Lonchura striata: one gene and its partners. The protein of the gene in region 2 purifies or fractionates together with the protein of the main gene of each other region. This does not show direct contact. Links are inferred from orthologs where the notes say so. Each region holds a gene or a part of one and is shown on either strand. Other genes may lie near its edges. The genes, in order: CCP110, KIF24 and CEP97.

Region 1 (7,631 bases), on a different chromosome or scaffold from region 2:
GGGAAAAAAAAATAAACACACTTGGCAGTAAGAATGAGGATAGAGTTTTAGGAGTAATGTAAAATATAAAAGGTTTATTTAGCCGGTACTTTGCGCACAGATACCTGGCCAGACACCAACTAGAAGACCAAAGCACGTTTCTCTGCACTGCTTTCAAAAGGGAAGGAATTGCTGTAGATTCCTATTTGCATCTAATGAGTAAAGTAATAAGATTATGCATTATGCTTCATTTGTTTATAAAAGCCTTAGGCATTTGAACAGCCAAAAAGTAATCTGGAACTGGGAGGTTAATACCATAGTGAAATTCCCAGACAGGACTAAAGAAATTAAAAATAAACTTTTAGGAAACATCACCTTATAAACAACGTCTGGCATGAAAGAACAGACAATGCTGCTGTTATACAACTGTGGAAATTCCTGGTAGAGTTGTTTCAGGGCATCAACTGCCTGCAATTAGAGACACACAGAGATGTTATACACACACTCATATTTAATTTACACTGCAAAGTCATTTTACAACAATCTTAAAAACACTTCCCTGCTGTGTTGCCAGATTGAAGTAGAAAGGGAGAAGAAAAATAGCATCTTGTTTATAGCATTAACACAGAAATGGTATTTTGGTTTTTAGCAAAAGAATTTCTGTTCATTATTTACAACGAGTAGGATTCTCAGTGTTTGAAATACCCTTAAATATGTCATGGATATAATTTTTTAGTACTACCTAAGCTTAAGTTGAAGAGGAAAATTATTTATTGCTATGTTTTGCTAAACTAAAGAAAGAAATTAATTTATATAAAATGTTAGTGATGGATCATTTGCATCTGCCTTCACTAATGCAAATTATAGATCCCTTTCTGGAGGCTGAAGATGAGGTTTTGACTCCCCTCAGCACCGCAGGGAATTCCCTTTGCTCTGTTTCACAGCAGTGCTGTGAGCTGAGTGCAACACTTGCACAAGGCTTGGGCAATTTTAAGCTGCAGCTTCCCAGGACAACTCTGGGTGACACAAGCAGCAGACCTGGGCTTGCTCATGTTAAAGAAGGGACTTGGTCTGAGACCAACACAACAGCAGGTCAGAAACCCAAAGAAGGGGTGAGGGGAGGTGTCATGCTGCAGTGAGCAGTACCTGGTTTGCATGGCCTTTGACATCGAAGTAGATTGTGAGATTGTGATGCATAGACTCCACAACAGCTTCTCTCAGAGTTGGTACCTTTTCATCTTGGAACTGGCTCCTGTAGAAACAGAGAACTCCTTGGAATGCAGCCAACACACACCTGCACATACATGGGCCTGCATATTGCCACCCACACAGGGCTGATTCCAGCACAGTTTGCTGCTGCACTGGAACTGCAGCTGGGATCCAGTGCTCACAGGCCCCGTGTCTGCCCCAAAACACCAGCCCCAGTTCTTCACCTCCTTCCCCAGATCCCACAAATAAGCTTTCAGTCCCAACTGCTGCCTTCCTCCTGCTCCCACTGCACTTCCCAGCCCTAGTCAGAAATGCAGATCCTGGCAGAACAGGCAAGACAAGCTGAGGATTTAGCAGAAGCAGCTTCACCCATTGTTACACTGTGACACGAAATAACTTTCAGAAGCAGGCTAGGTGTAAAAGGAAAGAAAACGAACTTTGAAAAGCAAACTTTATTTTCTAACTCCCCTATATATACAACATATATATATATAACACAAATATATATATATTTATATATATATATATAACAAAATGACAGCAGATTAGAGGGTGAAACTACCACCTCTCTAATTACACTAGTCAAACTAACAGTTCATCAATTCTCTCTACCTACAAAGAAAAACACAAAACAATCATTATTTGCATAAACAGTGTGTGAGAAAAATCAGTTAAAACATGTAAATATCAGAAAGTGTAAGAACTTTTAAAAGGACTTTAAAACTCTCAAAAAAAACCAAAGTAACAACCCATCAATAAATCATTCCTGATGGGGTGACAGTTCATTCACTCCTGACAGTGAACAGCAGCTGTTCAGCAGTCACTGCCTGTGGAAATTCCCCCTGCATGGCCCAAGTGATCACCCTTCCAGTGAGACAGGGAAGATACTCCTTGTGCCACACACTCACAGGAGGCACCTCTGCAGCTCTGGAATTCCCTAATACAGTGTCTCAGGAGCACACACTGCGAGTTCTTCCTCTGAAATGGACTCACTTATGATACTGCAGAAGTTGCCTTGTTATCAAATTCTTTGTAATTATATATTATATACATATATTATATGTATATATTATGTTATTATATGTATGTACTATTATATTATATACATATATTATATGTATATAACATTTTTATCAAATTCTTAGTAATGTATAAAAATATTTTCCCCTGCATACCCCTAGGAAGGACCTAATCAGCCACTAGGGTCACAGTGAGGCCACCACCCAAAATCTGTCCAGCTCCTCTTTAACAGTATAAACCTGATGTATAAGATCTCCAAAACACAATCAGTCAAGAAATACATGTGAATAAAACTAATCTTAGAAGTAATTCCTCTAGACAATTCTGACATATCATGAAAATCCCAGCACCTTCAGTGTCCTGCAGTCAATTTAGGACAAGCTTATGTAGATATTGACCTGTTTCACATCAGATGCCTGTGGATTTTGTCCTTGACTGTGTTTTTTTTTAATGTGTTTCACTGTTCTTAATCTACTGATGAGTAAAGAGATATAGTTTCATATGCCTAAAAAATCAAATTAGAAGTAATTTGACTAAGTTTTAGTCAAATTTTGGACTAAGTTTTAAATTAAAAGAAAAATTTAATCAGTGACAGATCAAATCAATAATGTTGTTCATCTAGAATTATTTTCCCACTGTCAAAAGTGTAATTTCAGAACAGTTCATTTACCGTAGCCTGTGTTTCGCAGATGGATCAAGCTTCCTGATTTCCTCAAAAGTCAGGTCCTGCAGTCTCCCAGCCCCATCAGTTGTCCTTTCAACTGTGTCATCGTGCATGAGGATGGGGACACCATCTGCACTAAATTCAAGATCCAGCTCCACACCCGTTGCTCCATTCTCAGCTGCCTTAAAAAAAATTTTAAAAATCACAACAGAAGAGACAGCTTTATAGATTTGACACAGGTACAGCTATAATTAGCTTGTATTTTGGTAAAAAATAATAAAACATTAATGGACTTTTCAGTTGTCTTCATCTGCAGAAAAAAAGTAGGTTTTATCCAAGTCATTGCTGAGCATTCAAAAATCAGCTGAACCATCTAATCTATTTTACAGCTGAAATCATAATGATTCTGCCTCAGTCTTGGGATTGGAACTTTCAGGATAAAAATGCAGAAAAGAATCCTGCTCTCTCCTGATGTAATAACCCTGGAGTCCTTATGTTATTTTCTAAAAGACAAGAGAAGCAAATGTCTACACTTTAACATGCAGTCAACGCTGTTCACCACGTGTATTCCAAGCAGCAGATGGATGGCAAATCCCTGCTCCTCTCAGGAATGGCTTTATCACAGAGCAAGAAGCAGCCAGGCTGCCTTAGAACATTTCATACACCCTGTTCCTGCCCTGGATCTTTCCCAAAAGCTCTTTAGAAAAACATTTGAGTAAAGTGTTAACAACACCAATTGCTCTGAAGGACAAATGCCCTCCTGGGAAAAGGGACAAACACCGGGTACAGAGGTTGCCTCCAGGTGTCTGCTTTGTAAGGAGTGTGCAGCTTCAGAATTTATCAGGACTGAGAATCCTGTCTCACACAAAGGCAAGAGATCCTCAGAGCAGCAACGTCTCAGCCTCACAGAAACACTACATTCCAGAGACTGGTAATCACTATCTCAAATGATTCTCAGAAAGAGACTGTGAATCCTGGCTGTGCCTTGGTGCCTTGCAGATGAGGCAGCAGTAAGGCATGGCAGGGCTGCCCACAGTGAATCTGGCACCAGAATTTTCTCCTAAATGTGGATTTTCATCACAGATCTTCAAGGTTTAAAAAAACACACAACCAGTTCCTGACTTGCTGTGCACTCTCTGTGTGCTGTTGCTACATCAGGGAAATCCAGTATTTCATTACTGCTGCACGGCTGAGTTACCCATCAGCACCAAGGCTACAACAGTTCCCACAAGAGCCGGATCTGAAGTTCCCTTTGGGATGAAGGACCCCCCGCCCACCCAGCTTCCAGCAGCTCTGGAAGGACGGCCGAGTTATCCGGGCGAGGGCGGCTCGCCGCGGGAGGGGCGGATCGGCAGGCAAAGCCCCGGGGCCCGCGCTGACCTGTCGGATGGCCGCCAGCGTGTTCTCGGGCGCGTCGTGCGCGCCGCCGCGGTGCGCGATGCGGCCGGCGGCGCCGCGGGGCCGCAGCACGCGCTGCGCGCTCTGGGGCGCCGCGGGCTCCAGCGCCAAGAGCTGCAGCGCCAGGTACAGCCCGGCCGGCAGCAGGCAGGCCAGCGCCGGGCTGCGGCTCAGCGCCAGCGCCAGCACCAGCAGAGCCGTCAGCGGGCTCAGCAGGCCCTCCCCGTGGCACAGCATGGCGCGGCCGGGGCCGGGGCCGGGCCGGGGTCACGGCCGCTGTCGGGCCGGAACCGCGGCCGCCGTCTCGCCGACGGTGACGGCGGCGCCATCAGCCAATCAGCACTCGGCTGTCTGCCGCAGCAGCCAATCAGCGCCCGCAGTGTCCGCGCGGCGCCCGCCTGCCGCGCTGAGGGCGGGCCCGGGCCCCAGGCTCCTCCTCAGGTAACGCCGGGAGCGGCGTGCGGGAAGAGGCTGTGCCTGATGGACACTGAGGGGAATAGGGGCTGTGCCTGATGGACACTGAGGGGAGCGGCAGGGGCTGTGCCTTAAGGACACTGAGGGGAATAAGGGCTGTGCCTGATGGACACTGAGGGGAATAGGGGCTGTGCCTGATGGACACTGAGGGGAGCGGCAGGGGCTGTGCCTTAAGGACACTGAGGGGAATAGGGGCTGTGCCTGATGGACACTGAGAGAAACAAACAGGGGCTGTGCCTGATGGACACTGAGGGAAATAAGGACTGTGCCTGATGGAACACGGGGCACTGACGGAAACAGGGGTTGTCTGATGGAACATGGGCTCTGCGTGAAACAAAGGCTGTTCCTGATGGAACACTGAGTGAAACAAAGGCTGTTCCTGATGGAACACGGGGCTCTGAGGGAAGCGGGGTGTTCCTGATGGAACATGGTGCGGATGAAAGTGAAGGGTGCTAATGGAAGGAAAGGCAGCGCTGTCCAGGGAGTCGCAGAACACCCGTGTGGATGGAAAGTGTTGAGGGCTCTCCGCAGCTATGCCAGCTAGCTAATTAGAAACATAACATCCATAGTGATTATTTTCCAGCTGTTTGCTGGGTTTGTTATAGACAGTGTTATATATAGTGTGTTCTATGCAGCCGTGCCTGTCCGCAGGCCAGCCCGGGAGCCGTGGGAGGAGCAGGCGGTGCCTCCTGCCCGGCCAGAGGCGGCTGCTGGCCAGGGAGCGCGGCTCCGGCCACCCGACACCTGTGAACATCCGCCAAGAACCCAGAGGTGAGCAACAAGGCACGAAAACAACCGGTTAAGTGAAGGGTGGGGAACCTGAGCAGGATTAGTCTAGAAGTGGGATAGCAAAGTGAGGAACTAGCAGTTTGTGTTGATGTGACTGGGGGGTTTGACCCTCTTTGGGTATCTGTGGGAAGTATGGGAAGCAACTGACTTTCCAGTGAGGAGCTCTGTCCAACTAGAGGTAGAACAGGCACAAGACCATGTTCTGAATGGTTGTAGTTTTTTTTTTTTTTTTTTTTTTTTTTTTTTTTGGTTTAGTTTTGTTTTTTGTTTAAATTGCTGAGATGAAGATTTGTCACATAATGTCCTAGCTGGTTCTGAGCATCTCAGATACTCTGTTAGTGGCTTTGCGCTTCTGCCAGGTGTAGCTGAAGAAAAATCAGAGATATACATGCAATTGCACAACAATTAATGGGCTGTCTAATTAGATGTCTAACATACTTTTAAAACCTTTTGATAAACAATAGCATTTGTTAAGATTAAAGATGAAATTTAAAAAAATAAATCCCCTCAATGATCGCTGAAGAGGTAACAGATGATGAACTTATTTTTTGAAACTAGAATGACAGCTTTAACAGCTCTAAATGCTGGGAATTAGATGCGTCCATATATTTAAATTAATTATGCCTGGCAAACAAGTGTGGATTTCCCTTCCACCTGACCTGCCTGACAGGTGAGTGTTACCTGCTGCTGGACTGGCTAGACCGGCAGCTGGCTGCAGCCCGGGCGGGAGGGATAGGATGTCTGGTGATGCCCGCATGGATGCTGTCCTGGTGGATGCTGTCCTCGCAGAGCATGGCAACAGGTGCTCACCTTTATCTCTCTTATCTTAGCGTGCTCGCTGAAACTGATACCTGCAGCGGCACATCCACAGGGACCGCACAGCCGTGTGGTCTGTAATGGGATGAAGCAGAACAGATCACACCCGTGCTCGCAGGGGAGCTTATCTGGGGGAGCTGTGGGTGGAAATGGGAGCTGCGGGACGGCGCTGCAGCCCCTGTCACCGGGCTGGGCCGGGGCTGCCTTCGCTGTCCCGCGGTGCGAGCGCACACGGTGTCGGCGGCGCCGGGCCCCCGTGCTCTGGGGGCGGAGCGGCGGGCGGGGCGCGCCGGGCCCGTGGAGCGGCGGCCCGGCCGTTGCGCGGCGGTTGCCGGAGCTGCCGCCAGTCCCGCGCAGGTACCGAGCGTTGGACGGGCCCGGGCCCGGGGGGAGCGCCGGGGCGGGGCGGGCGTGCATCGGCCCCGGCTGGGGCGGGCTCCGTGCCCCGCAGCGGCGGGCAGGAACCGGCCGAAGCGGCGTGCCGGCGAACAAAGCCTTGTCAGGCCTTGCCCGGCGCTGCGGGGCTCGCTCCGGTGGGGACGGGCAGTGAGACATCTTTCAGGTATTTGGCCGCTTTTAAGGATACGAGGCTGCAATTTGATTTTTTTTTTTTTTTCTTTGTGATGTAAGTATTGGCGTCTGTTCATACAGACGTGGAAGCTCGCGGGAGTGAGACACGAATTCCTCTCAGCCCCCTAAACATATAAAGGCTTTTTATTTTTTTTTAATTTTTTTTTTTAATTCAATTGGGCTGCAGGTTTGTTTGGGCCGGGTTTTGGGGTTTTTGTAACAATTGATAGGATGTGTCTCGTTGTGGAAGATCTCAAAGGTTTAGTCTTTGATGGAAATTATCTATAGTAGGTACAGTTTTGTAAATCCTAATTATCACAATGCGTGCTTTCTTCTCTGTGTGCCCGTGATCATAATTTTTGCTCTTACATGCAGATTCTCCTTTAATAGGGGAAAATAAGGAAGAATTTTGCAGGCTTTGTTAATGGTAGAAAGAAGACAAACTTAATTCAGTTTTCTAACGTAGAATTTGCTTCCCAAAACGTAGAGACACAGAATTAGTGGTGTTATTGTTTTCCCCTTCAGTGTCTTGGAAGTACATGGATGAGTAATGTTATTATTCTTTGCAGGTTAGACAACATGAAGATGGAGGACTATGAAATATTCTGTAGGAAGCATCTTTCCAGAATCCAAGAAGAGGCAATAAAAGGAAAAACCTCCTTGACTGTTCAGAACAAAAATATCTCCCTCATTCAATTCTATGGAGTTCCTG
Region 2 (7,471 bases):
ATGTCCTCTCACATAAGCTTAAGGCTCAATTCTGCAAAACTCTTAGTTGTGCCAATGGTCCAGAAACAACAGGACTAGGCACAGACACGTACCATTTAAAAGGTGCATTTCATTTAAGCAGCTAGGGATTTTTTCTCTTCCATACTACCTTCTGAAACAAGCAAAAAATCTGAAAGCCAGTCCTTTCAGCAGCTGGGTAGTTAGTTCTCCTAGGACACACCATTTATTTTACATTGCTCAGAACAAGAGGTGCCACTACAAACAATGTATAAATATAACACATCCTCAGCCATATCTACTTTTGTTGAGAAATGTCAGATTTGGTTTTCTCATGAAAGCTCCGGAACATAAATAGAACAAGCCAAGCAATACCTCAAAAAAAGCAACATAGCAGGACCTGGGACATTTTAGAAGGCAAAAGAAGTTTAAGCTCTGTTTTTTCCCTGGTGTTACTCTATTTTCTATGTAGCTGGCTCCAAATAGCTATAAATTCACCACAGAGATTAACTGTTCCTCGGGTCTCAGATACCCAAAGTGTCCTTTTAGTACCACATCTGGGCTATGTAGGAAGTTTGTTTTGCCTTTGCAACGGGTCCCACTCACTTCCCTGCCCGTGTATCAAAAATGTGAACAACCTCTTACAACATGACATCACCTCAAATGTAAAATACATTTTTCTTTCAAGAAGCAGCTATGCAGAACACAGCATCTGATGTTGATACCTGTTGATAACCTCAGGTCTGAGCTCAATAAGTTGCCACATTTGTGCAGTCCAGTCTACCTGCAGAGCACAAAAAGGACTGCAGGCAGCACCTCACACACCACAGCTTTCAGATCCTCCCACCTGTTCCCACTGGTGCAGTTCTAATAGATTGAGAAGGAAAATGAACCCTACATCCCCTTCCCATCAGCCTCCGCTAGTGAAAAGTCACGGTCCTAGGGACAGAGATAAGGCTGATGAGGTACATGTGAGGGGATCCAGTTTAATCCCATAAGAGATGCAGCAGCTTCGAGACTTTATAAAATAACAAGGTACAGCTGTAGCTGTTAACTGCCTTTTGTGTATGCTTTGAGAGACACGTACGACTTCTCCTTCTAACTCCTGCCCCATGGAATCAATCCTAACATCACGTACATATTATCATACTGCATGTCCCAGGGCCACCTTGAAAGACCACTCCTATCACAGGTATTATAAAATGGAATAGCTTCTCTTCATTAAATTCCCCCAAATCATTATCAAGCTTCTATTATAGGCCACCATCAGATTCTGGTCTTCAATATCTAAAATCTGAAGCAGAGTGTTGAGGGAGGTGATCCCCCCCCTCTGCTCTGGTGTGACCCCACCTGTAATGCTGCATCAATCTCTGGAGTTCTCAGCAAGGGAAGGACATTGACCTGTTGGATTGAGTTCAGAGGAAGTCATGAATACAATCAGGGAGTGGAACACCTCTGCTTTGGAGACCAGATGAGTTGGGGCTGTTCAGTCTGGAGAAGAGAAGACTATGGGGAGACCTCAGGGTGCCTAAAGGGTGGTTGTTTATAAGAAAATTGGGGACAGACATTTGAAAAGGGCCTGGAGTAACAGGAGAAAGGCTCCTGCTTTTCATCTAGGAGAAGGAAGACTCAGACTACAGACAAGGAAGACTTGCTTTTACTATAAGGCTGGTGAAATACTGGCACAAGTTTCCCGGAGAGGCGGTGGGGGCCCCATCCCTGGAAACGTCCAGGTTGGATGGGACTCTGAGTAATCTGCTCTAGTTGAGGACGTTCCTACCCACTGGTGGAGGCTTTGACTAGACAACCTTTAAGAGTCCCTTCCAAGCTACATTGTTCTGTGGTTCTGGGTGTGTGAGATATATGCTTATGAGACAATTAGCTCCCTACCAAAATGCCTACAAGCAATTTAAATCACTTGTCCAGAATTACTGTGTTCCCAGGGCTCCTTACACAAGATTTCTTCTCACAACAATCAATCATGTCCCAGCAGATATTTTTTTAGCTTTCCACTAGGCTGCAAACTCAACTCCCTTAGATTCTTGGTGCAACAGAGGAAAGGGAAACACTGGGAAAGTTTTGTTCTTTCCCTGAATAGAAGAGCCTAGCTGACAGTGTTAAAAGATTTTTTTTTCCCCAATTTGCAAGTTCTTGTTTATGAACTGCTGTACCACACTTTTACCAAATGAGAAGTAGAAACTATCAGGACAAAATCTCAGAGGTAAAAAAGAGCATTCAAGAAGATCTCCAGGGAACCTAAAGTATTTCTGTGCTGCGCTTTTTCTGGTACCAGGGCTGTGACTGTGTACTAGCAAACACCGGCTCTGCAATGTGCCTTTACAGAGGAGGTGCTGCTCTCTGTCCTGGGACACAGAGTTTGTTTTCTGCTCTGAGGCTTCACTGATGACCAAGAATGGCTGGTAAGGTTAATTCTTCTATCTGTCCCTCTCATCTCTACTGCATTAGGCAAGTGATCTTCATCAATGATCTCCTGCATCTCCTAAGAACAGCGTATTAAAGTGTTCTATTACAGAGTTCAGTTGGCCTTCCTGAAGACTGTGACCACAGCCCTGCAGACTCTGATCACACATGGGTCAAACAATCCTGCACTGGCAACACTGCAGGCACCTGCCAAAGTGTGAGGGCCGAGGCAAGAAGGTAGAGCATCCTCTCATCACCTTGCTTCAGTCGTGTGCATATCTTTGTCAGAAACATTAGACACCTGAGAGCTCGGCTGGGTAACAGCCCCTGCCCCAACCCAAACCAGCCGTGCCCAACACTTTGTACAGACACAACTTGCAGAGGATTTCAGCCTCAAAACTGCCCCCTCACCTCCAGCACCATCAAACAGCACAAGCCAGCAGCTACTTTCAGGTGGTAACTGCCCCTCTAAACTGACCTCAGCCAAAAACCTCTCTGCAGCCTGACCACCAGGAGTGTTACCAGAACAAAAATCACCTTTGGGCGGGGTCCAGTGGTGGGTCCCATAGGATGTCTGAAGCAGGAGGTACTCGATGCAGTCAGTGACCTTAGAGCATGCTGCTGGCTGCAGCCTCCTGTAGATGATCAAGCCACAAGCTCTCACAGCCATTCCACTCTGCCAACTGCACCAGGAGCTGCAGAACAGCACAAACAAGGGACTCGAACAGACCAGCCGTATTTAGCCAGTGAACAGATCTCAGCACAGTAAAAAAATTGTCCACCCCTCTGAAGTCACCACAGAATTAAATTGTATATTATTAGCTGCCTTTGAATTGTAAAAAAATTTCCTTTTTTATAGAGAAGCATGAAAAATGACCTGTAAGTCATGTCTTTGCTGCTGATAAATTGCAAACCATATTGCAAGGAGGGGGAAAAAAATTACAAAGCAAAAGGAAAACCACAGATTAATACTCTGAAACTGTTCTACTGCAAAACTCCAAAGGCTCTGTGCAGAGGTAATAGCTCACCATTACTGGAACTGGCATACGGAAATAATTGCTCCGGGCAGTTTTCCTAGAGCACAGGACTCCTCAGGATATCAGAAGCAAAGCTGAGAAAATGAATGACAAAGGACAGGCTCTCTGCTGTCTCACCTAGACATAAGGCTGTCATACAAAACTACAAGTTTCTTAGCACACGTGCTAAGCACTGATTTGATGTGAACAGTAAGGAACACACCTCTTAAGTGACAAATATTGTCAGCAAGAAGCTACGCAGCCAGCATGAGTAGTCCTAGAGAGAAAAAGAAGCAATGGAAACGAGTAATTCATTCCACAAATCTGGCCGATTCCCAGTCCTGGGCAAAGCTTTGCATTCTGGCAGAGACGCACACTTCAGTAAATAACTGTACACAACAATGCATTTTCCTGGGACGCCAAGAGCGGCACCGTGACACCTCCGGCTTCCAACACGGGAAACCACAGCACGGAGCCCTTCGCCAGCAGCCACAGCCCTGGACGACGCTCAGCTCTTGTGGTCCACCACTTCAACCGCTTCCTTTAGTTCTTACCTAGCTCCTTTAGCTCAGGCACAGCACCCCCAGGACAAAGCCCCACTGCGGCCCTGGGGCCAGCCCGAGGAACCAGCACCACCTCCCGTGCGCGCCTGTAAGGACAAGGACAAATCCCAGCGGGGCCCCTCCGCCGGCGCCCGGCGCGACGCGGCCGCGCTGCCCCGGCCTCTCGCCACCCGCAGAGGGATGGGGACACTGGGCACGGGACACCGGGGTCGGGACACTGGGAACGCAGACACGCATCACCCCTACAGCGGCCCCCACGGACCCCCGCCATCACCTCTGCTTCCGGCTCCGGCAGCCGGCGGGAACCAGGACGTGATTGGCGTCAGCCTTAACCAATCGCAGCGGCAGCAGCGAGGGCGGTAGCCACGCCCTTCTCGTCCGGGCTCCCCCGGCCCCGCCCCCGCACCCGAGGAGGCCTCGGATTGGCCTCTCGCCGGCGGAAGCGCCCCACCCGCCCCCCTCCCCTCTCCCTATTGGCTGGCTGTGCGCGCGAGGCTGCGCGCGGCGTTCGAAGCGCTGTTGCCAAGGAGACGCAGCCGAACGCCGCCGAGCGGCGCCATGGCCGGTGAGTGAGGGGGGAGCCCCTGAGGGGACGGCTCCAGCTGGGGCAGGGAGGGCTCCAGGGACATCGCCCCGACCGGCCCCACCGGGCTCTAGACGGGGAAGGGCCGTGCTGGGACAGCTCCGGGAAGGATGAGGCATGGGGCCCCCTGCACGGCGGAAGTCCGGACGCGTGGCACTTTGTTTAACTGCACTTTTATAGCTATAAAATACTTTTCAATTGTGTATTTTATCTATTTTACAGATAGCACGTAGTTTATATAACACGTAAAATATGTAAGTGCAATTAAAAATAGATATACATTATGCAAAAATTTCTAAAATACTTGAGTACTATTTAAAACAGTGTTAATATATATTTTTATAATATCTATGAAATATGTTTTTACGCTTATATTTTAAACTTTAAATAAAACGTTGAAATTATTAAAGAAACCATGATGGACGTTTGGTATATCCTGCTGGGAGGATGAGCTCAGGCACGGTTTTCAAATAATTGGCACCCTGCCATAACTCGTGGGTTATTTTCTCGGCGTGTGGTTGAATATTGGACACTTCTAATATTCAGTATCCCTGTGTTGGAGACTTTCCCTTCTTTGTGCAGCTGTTTCTGGCAGCTGTCAGGATCAGCTGTAGGATGGGGCCTATTCTGCTGAGGTCACCCGTCTATAATTAGTATGGAGAGAGGAATAAAACACTCTGAAATACTTTTTGGGGAAACAAAGAAAATCTCTTATATTCATTTGGTTGTCAGCCAATTTTAATGACATTAATTAGTGTGGCTAGAGCAATACAATACTCTGAAATGCTTTCTGGGGAAACAAAAAAATCCCCAATATTTAGTTGCTTGTAAGGTGGTTTTAATGACATTAATTGTTTTAGCAACTTCTTCAAGGTATGTCAGTGACAAGGGAAACCCCCTTTTCTTACTTGTTGCTGCAAGCAGCAGACTTGTGCCAAGCTCCAGCTGTAAAATTGCATTAAAACAATTTAGCATTAAAACCTTTTCCTCCTCTCCAGTTACTTATGCTGTACTGATGCTAAGTAAGTGGCTATCTATCAGTGCCCAGCTTCCAAACAGCTGAACACTTGTTCCAAGGAGCCATGGAATGTTTAATGCCCTGTTGTTTGCGTGCAGGGTAGAGTAATCCTATGATCTTCCAAAGGGATCTGCTGCAATGTCAATCACGGTTTCACAGATCCCTACCTGTTAAATTAAACTAAAATTCTGGGCTCGTTTTACAGTACAGATTATCTCTTATTGTGGAGCTTGTCTTAAAAAAGTGCAGCTGCAGCCTGACCCTGTTCTTCACAGGACCCTAATTCCCCAGGAATGGGGTCAGAATGACTAAAGGTAAAGGGTTTTGTGTGGTGGTCTCAGAAAGCAAGTTAGCCATTCACTTTTGGAGGGTTCAGTCAGATTTGGTTTTGGATCACCTTAAAAAAAAGAGCTTGATGTTCAAAGGAATCAGGAATGAAGGTGGATGGGTAGTGACACAAATTAATACCTTTCCCTTTTCCCTATTCATTCTTTGCTTCTGTATTTCAAGAAACGTGCAAATTCTTTGGCATGGGCAGGACCTGTGCTGAAGTTTTTTGGGGGGTAAAATGGTTGCAAGTAATGAGTACAGTGTGCTGCTGTAGTTGCTATCAGGAGAGAACACCCACCTGCTACACATTTACAAACTTTTAAAGCTCTTAAGTTTTATTTTTATAATGTACTTGCAGAGCACATTATAAAAAAGTTAAAAGAAAAGAAGGTAGTGTTTATGTTTTGTATGCTGATTAACATTTTCTATGTTTATCAAATACCCTTGAAAATCATGACTAATAAACTTATTTAGTGATCAGGCCAGAGTTAATGTTCAGAGTGGTTACCTTAGACTATATGCAGGACAAAATGTATCATTTGCATTTGTGGCAATGTCACGTAAGATTTCTTCACTTTATTTCCCTAATTTAAAGAATAGATATAATGACACGTGTTCTCTCTCAGTGGTGACACTCAGGAAATCATCTAAATCTGAAATTATCACTCTAAATAATCAAAAATTGTCAGGTCAATATGAGTGAGCTACAGTGGGAAAACTGTCCATGTGAGGGTTACTCAAGTGAATGGGGTGCTGAGATCTTTCATAAATCAGAAGTTAATAATGATCAAGATATAGTGGTTCTAGGCTGCTTTATTCTTAAAATAATCTCTATGGCACTTTTACATAATGTATTTTATACACAGTGATTGACAGTCACCAAGCATCTTCGAAGACCTTTCCTCCACCTTGAAAAGTGCATTGAGAAGGAAAAGATCTTGTGAAAGAGGTAATTAATAATTTGAAGCACTTTAAAATGGAGAGTCAGCACCTAGAGTGTAATTTTGCTGTAAGTTAATTTCTTTCAGGACAGAAAAATGTGGCCACTGCTTTCTTTTATTTACACTGACTTTTCTGGTTTTCATCAGCTGTACAACCTTTGAAAAACCTGTATTAGTGAAGCTGGGGAAGAGTTCTCTGATGACAAGCTGTGAGCTAATTCTGTGGCTAAGCTGCTCCCTTTTATATATCATTCTAATGCTTTTATTCAACGAGCACTTACACATTACCAGCATCTGGAAGCCTTTTAAGATCGTTGTAAAATGTCTCAGCATAAGAAACAAGTTGTAGAGAATTCATGGTTGCCACATAGAGATGTCAGGCTAGGTGCACATGGAGAATTTTACCTCCACACTCTCCTTTTTCTCAAAATATGTTACACCCAACTATTGCAAGAAGTCCTTGTCTTTTATCTCAACCCTGTTTTAAGTGAAGCTACCCATATCGTTGTGGGGAACAAGACCTAGGTTTTGATATGAAAAGAACACACTGAAGAATTGCATGTTTTTCTGCCTCATGACATATTATTCTCATGGATGAACAA
Region 3 (7,881 bases), on a different chromosome or scaffold from region 2:
ATTTAGGTTCATATTTAACTTGCTGAATGCAGCTAGGGGCTCCCTTAGTAATTTTCCACCCTCCCACTGCTAGAGGGATTGAAATTCCTTATGGGAGTTCCTGTGTCTGCTAAGTAACTGCACTGTGCAGACAGCTTGCCCAGACTTTGCCGGTTTTGCTGGACAGGAATGGCCTTGGCAAAGCAATGTCCTGATTAACTAGAACCAAAACAGAAAGCAAACCTTCACTATTTTCTGTATCAGTTACTTTTCTGTTGATACTGTGAGGGCTTGATTTGTTACCTTACGACCAGTCAAGAAGACGGCTGTGTTTCAACTTCCTGCAGTCCTGGGCTTCGAAAACAATGGCTGTAATGGGCACTGTGGATTATGGGCTGTACTTAACACCTTGTTTGGGTTTTAGTAAAATAGATATGGGTCTGGATGAAGGCTACAACCCATTTAAAAAGGTCTGGCTTGATGATATTAATTGAATCTGCACCATGATCTTCCAAACAATTTTGCTTTTTGCTATTAACAAAATCCAGCGCTACTTATTTAGAAAGAAATTGGAAGCTAGTTAGCACGTTTGAAAGCAAAGGGTCCAGAAACAAGAGGGGAAAAGAGAGGAAGAAAAATTGCCTGTAGTTAGGAGGGAAAGGAATTATAATAATTTAATACTGAAGGCTGAAAACACCTCTGAATATTACCCGTGCTAGTGGCGATTATAAAAATCACATCACTGTCTTCTACAAGACACCTGGTACCCTGAATGTGTCCTTGTGAATATTTTCAGCTAAGAAGCTGAAAATAAAGATGAGTTTTTACCATCTGCTTGAAATACCATTAATGATATATACAGAAACTGGCAGATATGACTAATTAATAAGTTAGTATTTGTTAATGCTTTGAAGTTTGCAGGCTTTGGCTGCCTGGTGTCACTGCAGCAGTGCACAGAAGGGCTTCACAATTTCTCTTCCTTGCTGCTTATTCCCGAGTTGTGATATGAGAAGAAGAGTGACAGCCCATCAGGTTACTCTTCTGAAAAGCTATGCACTGAGTGAGGCAGGCTGTTCAGAGCAGAATAAACAGCACTTTATTCACCTCAAACACAGATGTAATAGAATGAGTTACGGAAATTAATGTAAGCCCTTGTTCACCTAATTTAATGTAGTTGAGCCTCTATCAGGTATTTGTCAGGAGAAATTGCGTACCTACGTTTGTCACAGACCTACAAAATAATTTTGGTTTAAAAGGACATCAACTCTGTTGAAAATGCGTCTGTTTAGATGGGATTTAGTATCCAGCTGAGTCTTGAACACAACTCCAAGGACAGAGATTCCATAACCTAAGGCCGCCTGTTCCAGTATTCGACCAGTGCCATTGTTAATCCGAAAAACTAAATACAGAGCCCTTTTTCTACATAAACAGCGCTTTTGGGCGGCTTTGCTCAGTCTGGTGGGTATCTGTGTGTGGGGACCGCGGTGCTCCCCGTGCGCCCCGCAGGTACCGAGCGCAGGGAAAGGGATGGGGAATGGAACTGGGAATGGGAAACAGCCACAGCCCCCGGCTCCCGCCTGGCGTGCCTCTGTTACGGGCGTAAAAACCAGCGCACAGCTCGGACAAGCAAAACGCGCAGCCGCCTTCTAAAGGACTTTGTTTCTTGCCCCTTACGGACGAACAGCGCGCCCCGAGCGCCCCGGGGCGTGGCTGCGGCGCTGCTGCTGCTCCCGCTGGGCACGGGTGACCCCACTACTCCCCTGGCAGCTCCTGCCCGCCGAGCAGGAGTTTGGGAGCCGGGGCTGCACAGGGGTTCATTCCAGGGGTTCATTCCTGGCATTCGTTCCCTCGGGAGCGCTCCCGGCTGCACCGCCGCAACCGCGCCCCGCGGCGGGCTTTGCCCGGCTCCGACATGGCGGCCCCGGCCTCGCGCCCGTGCTCTGCCCTGCCCGGTTCCGACATGGCGGCCCCGCCTTGTGCCCGGGCTGTCCCCTGCCCGGTTCCGACATGGCGGCCCCGCCTTGTGCCCGGGCTGTCCCCTGCCCGGTTCCAAGATGGCGGACCCGCTCCCCCCGCCCCTTCCCCGCCCCTCCCGCGCGCGCGCGGCGCCGCCTCACTTCCGCTTGTGCAGCAGCCATTTTGTCTTTCCGCCGCCGCCGCTGCCCGAGCTTCTCCCTCCCTCCCGCCGCCGCGGGCCGCGACACTCCAGTTCCCCCCCGGCGCGGCTCCCGCCGGGCCGGGGCCCATCCCGACCCCCTTCCCGCACCCCGGCAGGCTCCTCCGCAGCCCCTGAGGGCTCTGAGGGCGCGATGTCCAGCGAGGAGAGCTACCTGGCCATCCTGCGGTACCTGACGAACGAGCGGGAGCCGTACGCGCCGGGCACGGAGGGCAACGCCAAGCGGAAGATCCGCAAGGCCGCCGCCTGCTACGTGGTGCGCGGCGGCACGCTGTACTACCAGCGGCGGCAGCGCGACCAGCAGCGCTTCGCCGAGCTGGAGGTGGTGCTGCAGGCCGAGCGCCGCGCCCGCCTCATCCGCGCCGCGCACCTGGCGCCCGACGGCGCGCACCGCACCCGCCTGCAGACCTGGCACGGGCTGTCCCAGCGCTACTGGTGGAGAGGTGAGAGCGCGGCTCGGCGCGGCTCGGCTCGGCTCGGCTCCCCTGATGCGGGCTCGCAGCCTGTGCCAGCGCGCCGGCGCCTTCACTCGAGTGCTCTGGTTCTGTTCTGTTCTAGCTCCTCGCGTTCTCGCGTGGAACTTCCCGTGCATTAGTTTCCCTTCCTTGTGTCATTGCTTGGCACCAGCGGGACCTCGCTCCGTGCTCCTGGCACTCTCTATTTAGATATTTACCGACATTATGCGGTCCCCTCTCAGTCGTCTCGTCTCGAGGCTGAGCGGGCGCAGTTCCCTCAGCCTTTCCTCCTAAAGAGATGATTCGGTCCCTTAACCATCTTCGTTGCCTCCGCTGTAGCCGGAGTTGCATGTCTCCCTTGTGCTGAAGGTCTCCCTTCCGTGTTCCCATCCCTGGCGGGACAGGAGGGACTGTCACTCGCTGAGTGACCAGAGCCTTTAAACGCCACCTGGAAGCAGTGTGGCAGTGAGATGTGTCACAGCCCGAGAGGCAGGGCTCACCCTGCGCGCTGCATCTGGTCAGCGCATTGTCCAGGCTTCTGGTCGGGTGCTGGCACCTTGAATAGGTAGAAACGCGGAGTACAGCTGTCCCCTCCAGGTCTTGCACGCAGCCCAGGTAAGGCAGTGGCATCTCCACTGTGCCCTTGGGATAGGGTGATAATCCAGTCCACGTCACCTGTGTTAGCTTTGGACCTCATTCGTGCATGTGATGGTGTTCGTGTTAAAGTACTGCAGCTGCCAGTGGTGGTTGGCAGTCCTGGCATTCATTGCTTTATTTGTCTCCTTCTTGCAGCGACACGCTGAAGAGACCAGGCTAATTCTCAGCTGGGTCCTGAGTGATGTCACAGCTGTTAGAAATGCTGGTGCCTGAACAGCAATCATTTCCAATTGGGATTTTCTTTTGCCTGAGGAAATGACTCCATATCTTGTTCCCTTTCGATTTGCTGTTCTGCTTTTAGCCCTAGATATCCATGAAACAAATAGCCTGCTTTTCACTTGCCATGGGCCCAGTGTGTGTTTATGTTTATATTGCTTCTCTTGTTCTGCTCTCTTCATCCATCAGCAAGTCTGTAATTTCAGCTTTAGTTTTCCCTATTTTCAGTTGGAGGGATTTTGCTCTAGCTGCAGTCAGTCCCTCCAGTCCAGATCTCATTGACTTGAAGGTATTTTCATGTGAAGAAAGGGTTTGGCATCTCAAAGCTGATACACCCATTTTTGTTTCCTTGCCTTTATTTGCATTCTCATTGTCTGCTCAGCATTGTGCTGTTCTGGCATCTACTCTTATCCTGTGCTGGAAACTTTCTCCATGGGCCTGCCTCAGTGTAGCTTCTGTTAGTCAGGAGAAGGCATTCTGTATTCTTTTGATCTTATTGGTCACCTTTATTTGCACACCCTAAATCCTCTTGCTTCTCTTACACTGAGAATACTAAAATTCATTCCATGCTTTCAGTTCAAGTGTTATGTTTCTTACATATGTCTCCCTTAAGACAATGTTTTCCCAGGCATGACAGTACTCGCTGGCTGCTATGGACAGCAGCTTTGGCCCAGCTGCCATCCTGAGAAGGACATCAGCCTGCTGTGTGTCTGTTCTGTAGCTGCAAGGCCATGGGCTGGAGAATGGCTCTGAGGCCAGGAAGGGTGTTAGAGATGTGATTTGCAGCCCCTGTCTCATTTCAGATGAAATCAAGGAGATGTACAAATGTTGAAATGGGAATTAATATCTTAGCTTGCCTTAAGTCTCTGTTTTCCTCACCCTTGCAGAGACAGGTATTTAATGATAGTGCAAGTCATGCTCTGAGGAGATGTGAGCAAGCAAGTCTTAAGTCTGGGTCAGCAAAGCTTTTGAGCTGTGCTGGATTTTAAATCATGGCCACCTGCTATACGTGCTTTTATATTGTGCTGGTGAAGAGAACGAACTTGGATTGAAAGCCATGCGTGGCAAATGCCTTGGTATCTAGAAGAGGACCCTGCACCTAGGACCTGTTGAGTGTCTGAAATGATTTACAGAATTGCAGAAGGTGCTGAGTGGGAAGGGACGCACAAGGATCACTGAATACAGCTTCTGGCCCTGCACAGGACCATCCCCAAAAGGCACAAGAGTCATTCCTGAGAGCATTGTCCAAACACTTTGTGAACTCTGTCAGGCTTGGTGCTGTGACTGCTTCCCTGGGAAGCCTGTTCCGGGCCCAAACACCCTCTGGATGAAGAACCTGTTGTTAATATCCTACCTAAACCTCCCCTGACACAAATGCAGGCTATTTCCTTGGGTGCTCTCATTTATATTTAGTTCCACTGGTTAAAGTAGTGGTGGGAAATGGAGTTATTTAAATCCCAAAATCATAAGCAATTGTTTTAAATCAGCATTAATAGTTCCCATCAGTGTCATTGCATGTAGCACCGTTGATCCCAATTTTGCTAAAGCTCATAAGTGAGCCTTCCAATTCTTGTCCTCTTCAGGAGGAGCAAGCCATTTGTGTGGGCTAAATACAGGATTACATTACATTTGTCATTACCTTGGGATGATGAGACTAAATTTCTGAATACCGTGTTGGGTTTTGTTTTAGCCTTAATAACCTTTCTAGGAGGGTTTTCTTGATGTAGTGGTATTCAGAATGTTCTGTCTCAAATTAGCAGTAGAGACATACAATATATTGCAATGGTGAGACAATAGAATTGATAATATTGCATTAGAGAGGGAGAGTGTAGGTGACTCGCTTTATTTTTCTTGGTTAGTATGTAATATTTTTGATTATTATTGATATTTTGCTAATCTTCTACATAGTTATTTGTTTACAGTAAATGGAATTAAGATTAGAAGCCTAATCAAGCTCCATTAATTTTTTTTAGGTATTCTTAAGCAGGTTAAAGATTACATTAAAGAATGCAGCAAGTGCCAGGAAAAGCTAGATCGTTCTAGATCTCTGTCAGATCCTTCTGAAATGCTGGAGGAGCTAGGACTGGATGCAAAATCTCATGAAGACAGTAATGAAACAGATGATGAATTGAGTAACACAGCATCAATCCCAGCAGCATCCCCAAAGCCTGTGAAGAAGAAGCCAATAGCAAAGCACGAGCTTGTGTTTGTAAGTACCACTGTTTACAGCTGAATAGATTTGCATTTTCTATTACTGCTTTCTTGGTCATGTACTTCTTTTCCATTGTTGTGGTAATCTTGTTACAGCAAGACTATAAATTTTGCCAAAGATACCGAATATGTAGAAATGGGATACTGGTGTATATGTCATGAAATTAATTACAGGACACCATTGCTGGGAAATAAAATCACCCTATATATTACGCATATAGAATCTAAGGTAAAGTGAATGGCAGTAGTAAAACATCACATACCCGATTCTTATGGGCTCTATATCTTTCTCTTAACACATGATGCTGTACTGATATGTAAACTTCTTGTTCATAACTGCAGGCTCACATGCACATAAAAGACATTTGAATTTAGAAACTTTTTCAGACTGTAACATAGAAAAATACAGTCAAAGAGCTGTTTGAATATGTCTTCCCATTTTCCCAGTTGGTTTTAATTGTGTTTGGAGGGAGGGTGAAACTTAAAGAAAGAAAACAATAGTAAAGTTAAGCTGTATATTCTCCAGGCTTGAACTGATTGTATGGTTGCAGAAAATAATCCTTTTCTGTGTTTCAGTGTGAATGCTTAAAAAGGCACAATCTAAATGTAATGAAGTTCTTAAATGTTGTTTATGACAGGTTGACAGTAAGGGCCTTGTGAAGCAGTCATCTTCCAAACATTGTCTGTCAGTCTTAAACCAGCTGAATCAGCAGAGGCTTTCCAATCAGTTCTGTGATGTGACTTTGCTGATTGAAGGAGAGGAGTACAAAGCTCACAAATCTGTCTTGGCAGCCAACAGCGAGTACTTCCGAGAGCTCTTCATTGAAAAGGGAGCTGTCACTAGTCATGAAGCTGTAGTGGATCTGTCAGGTGAATTGCTGTGGGTTTCAAAGCTAGAAATCTATAATATCCTAAGTAAGGTGTACGGTATTTAATTCAGTCTTTTTTGAGTGTTAAAGACAACCAAATTTTATCTTGCTTTTTTCTCTATTTTAATCTAGAAATATTTTGTGTGGATTGTAATGCAAAAGTGATCACTCTGATTTTGCCTAATCTGATTTTCCATGGACTGTGGTATTTAACCTTAAAATTTCTGAGAAGCTTTTGAGGGATTTTTACCTTGCTTAGGCATGTTCCCTCCTTGTATTAGTCACAAATGTTAAAAAGGGAACAAAGTCGAATGCTTGGGTGCATCAAGTGGGGATGTTGACAAGCTGCTTGGAGAGTAGTTCAGCTTAACAAATGCTAAATTGCTTCTTGTTTCTGTGAAGCAGAATTATACGTGTCTGCTTATTTCTCAGACCTGGTACATGAAAGACAGGAGCTAAAATATATGTTCTAAAAATAGCTTTGTAGTGATGAAGAACAGTGTACAGAACATATGCCTTCTTCATTGCTTTCTCATTTATTAACTGTCTTTCTCAGCATGAACAATAATTGCCTAGTAGGATAGTCCAGAAGGTTCCCCACATTAAATATTTTATTTATTATTTATGTAACTGTGGACGATTATACCAAATTCTTATATTTCAGCATTACTATCTATATGTCCATATTTTTATTGTTTTCAATAGCTACTTCCTTATTTTTCTACCACATCACTTGTTACTTAAGACATGAGTACTTTCTGAATGTAGCAGATCCAGAAAGTCTTTGGTTCAGTTAATCTGCTCCAAAAGTATTGTGGCTCTCCCAGCAACTTGAAATATTCCTATTGTGAAACTCTTTAAGTACTACTTAGTTTTTGAAAAAGTTGTCTGAGCTTTCCCATACATGGAAACTACATGAGGAAAAAGCTGTAGTGTAAATGACAAATTAATTGAGTGCCAGTGATGGGCTTGTTATTTCCAAGTGTGTTTTGCTCTAAGTTTCAGGCTTAGATGTATCAAAGGTGAATTGTTGTATTCATCATGGGATATTTTGGGGTAATTTCAGCTCATCATTACTTACTCTAATATCTTGTTTTATTCCTGGTAGGTTTCTGCAAGTCCAGTTTCCTGCCTTTACTGGAATTTGCTTATACTTCAGAATTAACGTTTGACTTCTGTAGCATGGCAGAAGTGGCCATGCTCGCCCGGCATCTCTTCATGTCAGAGGTCCTTGAAATCTGTGAGAATGTGCACAAGCAGATGGAAGAGAAACAAATTACAGTGTACCAAAAGGGAGATATTCAAACCGTGGAGTCAA

What was found.
Region 1: the proteins of KIF24 (region 2) and CCP110 purify together in Homo sapiens (co-immunoprecipitation; 4 studies listed by BioGRID and IntAct, with this or other methods). This does not show direct contact. The link is inferred for Lonchura striata from reciprocal best matches to the Homo sapiens genes KIF24 and CCP110.
Region 3: the proteins of KIF24 (region 2) and CEP97 purify together in Homo sapiens (co-immunoprecipitation; 4 studies listed by BioGRID and IntAct, with this or other methods). This does not show direct contact. The link is inferred for Lonchura striata from reciprocal best matches to the Homo sapiens genes KIF24 and CEP97.

Annotation. Positions count from the first base shown.
Region 1 is NC_134618.1:10,063,111-10,070,741, forward strand, and holds the start of CCP110 (centriolar coiled-coil protein of 110 kDa), read left to right. Parts: upstream 1-4,586; 5' UTR 4,587-4,711; intron 4,712-5,379; 5' UTR 5,380-5,515; intron 5,516-6,620; exon of another isoform or gene 6,621-6,706; intron 6,707-6,788; exon of another isoform or gene 6,789-6,911; intron 6,912-7,488; 5' UTR 7,489-7,498; coding exon 7,499-7,631. Other genes in the region: GDE1 (glycerophosphodiester phosphodiesterase 1), read right to left, coding at 355-447, 1,126-1,231, 2,879-3,054, 4,253-4,507.
Region 2 is NC_134642.1:41,232,019-41,239,489, forward strand, and holds the start of KIF24 (kinesin-like protein KIF24), read left to right. Parts: upstream 1-4,455; 5' UTR 4,456-4,562; intron 4,563-6,794; 5' UTR 6,795-6,877; intron 6,878-7,471. Other genes in the region: NUDT2 (bis(5'-nucleosyl)-tetraphosphatase [asymmetrical]), read right to left, coding at 2,956-3,088. UniProt on the Homo sapiens protein: Microtubule-dependent motor protein that acts as a negative regulator of ciliogenesis by mediating recruitment of CCP110 to mother centriole in cycling cells, leading to restrict nucleation of cilia at centrioles.
Region 3 is NC_134604.1:733,062-740,942, reverse strand, and holds the start of CEP97 (centrosomal protein of 97 kDa), read right to left. Parts: upstream 3,023-7,881; 5' UTR 3,001-3,022; coding exon 2,829-3,000; intron 2,599-2,828; coding exon of another isoform or gene 2,289-2,598; exon of another isoform or gene 2,177-2,288; intron 1-2,176. Other genes in the region: ZBTB11 (zinc finger and BTB domain-containing protein 11), read left to right, coding at 2,289-2,598, 5,457-5,692, 6,333-6,564, 7,672-7,881. UniProt on the Homo sapiens protein: Acts as a key negative regulator of ciliogenesis in collaboration with CCP110 by capping the mother centriole thereby preventing cilia formation. Required for recruitment of CCP110 to the centrosome.